Linked DNA regions of Sus scrofa. The protein of the gene in region 1 purifies or fractionates together with the protein of each later gene. This does not show direct contact. Links are inferred from orthologs where the notes say so. Each region holds a gene or a part of one and is shown on either strand. Other genes may lie near its edges.

Region 1 (4,071 bases):
ATCTTTTGTTCCTACCACCTCCCCTTTCTTGCAAAAACTCATATATCCTAGCTTCCCCCGTCGCCTCCTCAGAGCGTTTTCTCAGGACTCCCTGAGATGCTGTCTCCCGGGCTTAAGTCCTAATTTCACCCCAAATAAAACTTAACTCTCAACTTTCAGGTTGTATTTTTTTGGTCAACAGTCTCATGGAGTGGTTTGTAATCTTCAACTTATAAGATGTGACAAATGAGGCTCAGAGAGAGTCGGTAATTTTCTCAAGGCCACACAGCGGGTCAAGCTCAGCTGAGACAGAGAGGTCTCTGTGCTTCTGGCCTGCTGCCCTGTGTACAGGGGTTTCTTCCCCCAATAACTGCCTCCCTGCAGCAGGAGCTTAGCTGCTTCTAAGGACTGGGCACACAGGGAGTCAGGGGGTCCCAAGCTCAGCACTGTTTCTGGGCTGGAAAACTGTACGCTGCGGGGGGCTGTCCTGTGCACTGTAATGGGTTTAGCAGCATCCTGGATAAAATGAGATCCCAGTGGCACCTCCCCAAGCCCCCGATGTGACAATCAAACATTCTCTAGGCATGGCCCAGGGTCCCCTGGGGTCCAAGCGTGCCTGTGGGATCCCGTGTTGGGGTAGGAAGGGCTCAGAGGCACACTGGGGAGGGAGACTTCCTTTTGCCTGCTTTGAACGTACTTTCCTCATTTCAGAATGGGTTTGGGTTGGATGATGCCTAACTGAACGTGCTCACTGGGGCCGAAGTGTTTGTAGGACTCCATTATTTTGGGGTGTTCATTCTTCCGGGATGAGGACCTTGTCAAGGGGTCCCTGGACGTTGCTGTGGCATGTCGTGCCAGGCCTTCAGATAATCATTGCCTTATCTGTCACCTGAGCAGCTCAGATGCCTCTGTGGTCCTTCGGCTGCAGGGACTTTGATGACCCCCCCCACCATCAAAAGGCGTCATGACAATAGCCCTTGAGAATTGTACCAACTAAACACTCACATGCAGCCAGGCCCCTGGAAGCCTTCCCCAGCTTTCTTCAGGAAGAAGGCAGTGGGTTTTGCAAACGAACGCTTTTAGGATCCGTGAGGGGCCAGCAGTCAGCAGCTTAGGCCATGAACCCAGATAAGAAAAGGGAGGAGGTGACAGAAAAGATAGCAGGGTTATCTGAGGAGTTAATGAGTATACCTCCACCTCTCAGAGGAGGAGTTCCAACAAGAGGTCAAGGCCAGGGGTCCACTGGGCAGGAGGGTGGCCGCCAGGGAGCAGAGATGGGGACCTGGAGCTGTCTTCCGAAAATTTGGGGAACAAAGGATCACAGGGCCTCTGCTCTCTCCAGTCACATAGTGGCGGGCACGGGGTCTACAAGGCCAGGCCAAGGACTCCGGTGCTGCCTGAAGGTTAAAGGAACAAGATAAGAAAGTAGAATTCTCTTCAAAAAAAAAAAAAAAAAAAAAAAGAAGAAGAAGAGAGAGAGAGAGAGAGAGAAAGGAAAGAATGAAAGAAAAAGAAAAGGAAACAACGGTATCTACATAAAAACAAAAATGAAAAATGAAACCCAGCTAGTGCCCTGTGGGGCTCCTGGGCACACAGGCCTTTCTGTGTCCCCCATTTCTTGTTTTTAGGGAATCGGCTTCGGGCTCCATGACCTTCCCTGAGCCCCAAAGGGCAGCTGCTCATCAGGGAAGGGAGGGAACACAGAGACCAGGGAGGAGTCTCCAAGAAACAGCAGTGCAGCCTTGAGGCGGGGTCCTGGTTCCTCCTCAAGGAATGTACATAAAAATATGTTTGAGCCTTTCTGCAGAACTAGACCCCCCAGCAAGTGGAAGAACGATTTGAGGAAGAAGTCTTCATTCTGGGAAGAAGGAGGACCGCTGGAACCCGTCCCGGGGCCACTAACCACCAGCTTTGAGAGAGAATGCAAACTTGCATCTACCCCGATTCTTGTCTGCAGCCCCATTTCCCACTCCTGAGCTGTAAGAGCCCTCCCGTTCTCTCCAAAGGAGGGCACAGTCTTTAGGGCATTACCCCGTGGCGGCCTCTTTGCCAGGCAAGGCAATAAAGCTATTTTTCTCTCCTTCACCCAACTCTGTGTCTGTGTTTCTATTCGGCACTGGTGGACAGAGGCTGAGTTTGGGCAACAAAAACAAACAAGTTAAAAAGAAAGAGAGAGAGAGAGAGAGAGGATCCAGAAACAGAGGGGCAGGGGAGTGGGGGGCCCCCGAGGGGACTTGGCTCTGACTCCTGCAGGGAGAAGAGACCCAGGTGAAGACCCCCGAGGCCACAGGACCCTGTCCAAGCTTGGGGAGAGTGGAAGAAGGAGAAAATCAACCTGAAGCAGCCCAGCCCAGCAGCCGGTGTGCCCAGGGCCTCGTGGGCTGAGGGCCTGGAATGCGGAATAATCACTTCCCTACCGCCCGTGCTGAGCAGAACAGCAAAGACTCAACGGCGGCTTTCACATCCTGACCTGGCAGATCAGAGCCGAGTGTGTCTGTATCTCAGCTTCCGCCTCGGTCCAGTGGGCCAGCCTCACCCACCAGCGTCGGCTCCGCAGGGGCCTGAGGGAGAGCTACTCACTCGGCAGATGGAGGGAACTCACTTATTCCCCGGGGAGGCTCCCTGGTTGGACGCTCGCGGGCTGCTCCATACGGGGCCTTGCCTTGCCTACTTATAGGGCGGTCGCAGTCGCTGGGTCCCATGGGCCCAGGAAGAGCCTTCCCCACCCCCACCCTCTCCGGAGCCCAGCCAGCGGGTGTTGATACCATCTGAGGGCCTTGCTGTTCTTCCCTGAAGTGGCCCAGCCCAGCGGAACCAGGTGTGGGGCTTCAAGGCCCCTGCAAGGAGATTGAACTCGAAGCCTCTGGCCAAGACAAGAATTACCAGACCCAGGGGTGGGGGTGGGGTGCGAGGGATGGAGCCGGGGTTTGGAATTGGCATTATGCACTCTGGGGTATATGGAACGATTGATTGGCCAAAGGGCACCTGCTGTCTAGCACAGGGAACCCTACCCAGGATTCCGTGATAATCTCTGTGGGAAAAGAATCAGAGAGAATGGATGTGTGTCCATGCAGGACTGGGTCACTTTGCTGTACAGCAGAAATGATCACAGCCTTGTAAATTAACAATACTTCAATAAAGCTTAAAAAAAAAGAAATACCAAAAAAAAAAAAGAATTACCAGACTCTTGTCTTAGCCCCACCCATCTCATTGTAATGCCCCCTCCCCCACCTCGAGCAACCTGGCCTACTCTTTCCTGCCCCTACTAGGAAAGGCGAGTGGCCCACTCCTCACCCCACCCCTATGGGGGCCTTATCCTCCCCCCAAGCCACCAGTAAGTGTATCCTAAGACCCCTCCCCAACAAATCAGCAGGTCAGCCGGTATATCCTGAGACCACTCCTCTCCACGGGCTATAAAAACAGACACAACCACTCGCCCAAGGTCAGCTCTTGCTGATCATCTGAAAGTTGTCCTTCTGCTCCAGCAGCATCTCTTATCTCAATAAACTCTTGTTTCTTTTCCCCTCGCTGTGCTGGAAATTCTTCTCCTGACTCTTGAGCACAGACCGAGACACCAGGGGGTACAAGGCCCCTTGGGAGGGTGGGGTGATGGAAGCCCCATGGCCTTGCACGACCCAGGGTTCATCTCTCCTGGATACTCATCCTCCAGAGCTGCTGAGGGGGTGAATGAGTCCGGTAGGTCCAGAGCCTGGTACCACGCCTGATGTGTGGTGAATCACCAGTAAATGTCAGCTGCCTGACGGAACCGGCTTTATGACTGCCGTGGTCCCAGCCCTAGGAGACCACGTAGGAGGAGCTGGACTCTGTGTCCTTTGGGCTCCAAAGCCCCTTCTTCCAGGTGCAGAAGGGAGAAAACAGGCAATTGCCAGGTGCCAAGTCGCAGAGGTATCGCGTGAAAGAATGACACTGGGTCATCCTGATGCAGTTAGCATCTTACAGAATATTGGGACCTCAAGTGACTTAGGGCTCTCATTTTTATCATGGAGGGAGGCGATCACCCTAGTTCCTGGGATATGTGAGTGGTAGAGCCTGGGACAAGCTCAAGGGAGAGGGAAGCTAGCCCCCAAACCA
Region 2 (3,517 bases), on another chromosome or scaffold:
TCCCATCTCCCCCCGCTTTGGTAGCCATACGTTTATTTGCTGTGTCTGTGAGTCTGTTTCGGTTTTATGATAGTACTAGTGCTTAATACACCTGACGTCTTTGCTCCGTGTGGTCCTGACTTGAACTGCATCCATAGGAGGGAGGGAATGAGTCGAGTACACAGACTCTGTTTAGAGCAGAGCAAGCTCGGTAGAACTGCCCTGCGGCCAGAAGAGCAGTCAGGTCTGGGAGGAGGTGTAGACACTGATTTCCTACAACAGGAGTCCCCTAGAGGTGAAGACGGGAGGCTATGTAGGAGTGGATCTGTGAATCCAGGATTACAAGGTGAAGGTCAGCTTTCCAAGGTGATCGCTATGATGTCTCACAGTCAGGGACACAAGGGCAAAGGCAAATGAGCCCTGGGTCCGTGTCTGGAAGAGGGGAGTGGACATGGACGCTCCCTCCTTTCCGTCCCTGCGTCTCTCTTGCCCGCCCTCACATCTGCCATTTTGCAAATGCGGTGTTCACATCTGGTAGCATTCAGAAGCTTGCTTTGCAGCTCCCCCAACCTTGGAGGCCGGAAGTAGCAAAAACCGTATTTTGAGGATGGGCTGGGGCTTGAAAGAGATGTCAGAGGAGCAGCTGGCCTTGAAGAGCACAGGCCGCGCTGGTCCAGCAGGATGGACGTCCCGTCTCATTCAGGATGCGTTCGCCACTCAGACGATGACAGGGCTCACTGTCGAGCTGTCACCGACTCCCAGGGCCCAGAAATGGGCGGTCTCGAAGGATCTGAGCCCTGTGCTCTTAGTTAAAACTTGGGGCCTCTCACTTTACTACTCGACCGTCTTTAAACTCTTGGCTTTCTGTCCGCAGGGTCATCAACGAGCTTATCGGAAATCTCGTTGGACACCTTTATTTCTTCCTCATGTTCAGATACCCAATGGACTTGGGAGGAAGAAACTTTCTGTCCACGCCTCAGTTTTTGTAAGTGTTTCTTCCTCTTTTTCAGCAATCGTTTTAACCGCCCAAGTTCTTCTGCGCCCTGATAAAAACTCCCTGAGGGGTAGGATTTCCCTCTTTGTCTGATGGAAGAATACAAGCCAACAAGGGCGTTGCCCGGGTCACACAGGCACAGGAAGCCAGGGCTCAAGGCCTCGGCCTGGCCTCCTGGAGCCCTGGTAGCCAGGGGCCACTGAGCCCAGATTCTGGCATCTCAGGGAGCTGAGGGCCCTGCTGAGCAGGCAGGCACCTGTGTGCACAGCAAGGGACCAGGGTGACAGGGTGACCACGGTTTTAGCCAAGATTTTGGCTGAGGAAGGGGTAAGAGGGTAAGTGGGCTCATTGTTAGCAGCCTAAAACAATTTGTGTATTCAGTAGTAGAGATTAGAATGCTTTTTTTTTTTTTTTTTTTGCTTTTTAGGGCCATACCTGCGGCATGTTGAAGTTCCCAGGCTAGGGGTTGAATCGGAGCTACAGCTGCCGGCCTATACCACAGCCACAGCAATGCTGGATCTGAGCTGAAACTGTGACCTATACCACAGCAAATGCTGGATCCTTAACTCACGGAGCAAGGCCAGGGCTTGAACCTGCGTCCTCATGGATACTGGTCAGCTTTGTTACTGCTGAGCCACAGCAGGAATTCCCTAGGCTAGAATCCTGAAAGGACTTTTCAGAGTTACACACAGAGACCCGAGGCATGTATAGTCCTGCCCCGGAGGCTGTTCTTGTACCCTGTCTCCCCGCAGGATGTGCAAAGGTCAGGATGCCGAGGGCCCAGCTTTGGTTTGGGGGCAGACCTGGCCTGGAGTCCTGTTCCCCTCCTGTACCAACTTTGATACTGGGGAAGTGACGGAGTAAATGCTCCAGGTCCGTGAGTCGGGGGGAGGCCCTGCAGGAGGTGAGACGTGCAGGAGGTGAGACCTGCACCGCAGTGGGCATTCTGCAAATGCAGGCTCTCAGCCTCGCTCCTGAAGTTGGGGCTGGGAGGACGGGCTTCCCACGAGCTCAAAGAGATGCTGACACGCTTAAGCCTGTAAGCGGTGTGACCCCTCTGTCAGTGAAGCGAAAGGCTGCTGAGGAAGGGACCAGTGACATTGCCATCTGGGTGTCACCGCCGGCCTCACAATCACGCCTCATCTCCACTCGTGCATATGCGATAATAGCTTGCATTTAAAAGCTTAAAAAAAAAAAAAAAAAAAGCGAAAAACCATTTTCATGTCCTGCTCATATTAATGTTTTGCAGTTTGTCATTCTTCCAAGGGGCCAATGAGGGCAGTACAACTTGAGTAGGCACCCCTCCACCCCTCTTTCCTAGGTTAGAGGAAGGTTTTTGAAAGACTTCTTGAGATAAAATATACAAACAGGGAAGTACACTGTTGTTGTACGTGTGTGTGAGATACTGTTGGTGTGTGTGCGCGTGCCTGCGTGCCTGCGTGTGTGTGTGTGTGTGTGTGTGTGTATGTATGTATTGGAAGGTTTGTTTTTTTAAATGGCCACACCTGCAGCATATGGAAGTTCCCTGGCCAGGGATTGAATCCGAGCTGCAGATATCAATACTGGATCCTTTAACCCACTGCCCGGAGCCAGGGATCAAACCTGCACCTCTTCTGTGACCCGAGCCACTGCAGTCAGATTCTTGACCCCACTGCGCCACAGCAGGAACTGCTGGTTTTATTTTTTTCATTAAAAACGTAAAAAGAGATTCATTTCCCTTCCAAGCCTTGAGTCGCCTTCCCAAACCCAGATGACCGATCTGCTTTGTAATTGTCAAAGCACACGATCACAGCAGGTTTGGATTTTTCATCTTGGTTTATCAGGTGGGATGGCAGATGCATCAATTAAAAAAAACAAACACTTGTTGCTTTGTGGGGACAGCCGAGGGTGATTTTACTTTAAAAGGCCGTCGTCTTCATGGCTTGGAGAGATTTCTCGGTTGTGGACAAGAACGTCTATGGGAGTCTAGTGGCAAAATCAACAGCACGCTGGCGTCCGTCTTCCCCTTGAGCTTTCCCCGTTGGTAGAAGCCCTTCTGTTAAATTTTGCATAAAGATCAGATGACAAAATGTAGCTCCTTGCACAGGCAGTAACTGCTTTGAAATTACCATAAATCTTTGTTGATTATGTATAATTGGGTATCTTTTTATACTAATTACTTGCATTTAATTTCCCTATCTGTTGAAGCCCTGGAGATGGCTTCCATATTGTCTCAGAGTAAGAAGCAAAGCAAGACAGCCCTCGCGTTGCCTTTTTTAAGTCTCCTGATTTATTATATACTTCGGAGGCACGTTATTGTGCCAGAACGGCATGAATGTTGGGAAACCGGCGCTTGCAAATACATGTTGATGGAATGATAAAACTGTATTTGTTTAAAAAGGAAGACGTGAGCTACAGAATTCTAAGACGTATCACGATTCTGCATCCCACGTAGAAACGTAGACAGACCCTCTTCTGTGCACGGTTATTTTTCTGTTTAAACGGGGTTTGTTGCTGGAGGGGAGGGAGGCTGCCGCTGACAGGGATGATGCAGACCCATGAAGG

What was found.
Region 2: the proteins of alpha-1-antiproteinase-like (region 1) and DERL1 purify together in Homo sapiens (affinity purification with western blotting; 4 studies listed by BioGRID). This does not show direct contact. The link is inferred for Sus scrofa from reciprocal best matches to the Homo sapiens genes SERPINA1 and DERL1.

Annotation. Positions count from the first base shown.
Region 1 is NC_010449.5:115,593,049-115,597,119, forward strand, and holds the start of alpha-1-antiproteinase-like, read right to left. Parts: upstream 2,817-4,071; 5' UTR 2,748-2,816; coding exon 2,560-2,747; exon of another isoform or gene 2,450-2,559; intron 2,432-2,449; exon of another isoform or gene 2,315-2,431; intron 1-2,314.
Region 2 is NC_010446.5:16,334,407-16,337,923, forward strand, and holds part of DERL1 (derlin-1), read left to right. Parts: intron 1-853; coding exon 854-964; intron 965-3,517. UniProt on the Homo sapiens protein: Functional component of endoplasmic reticulum-associated degradation (ERAD) for misfolded lumenal proteins. Forms homotetramers which encircle a large channel traversing the endoplasmic reticulum (ER) membrane.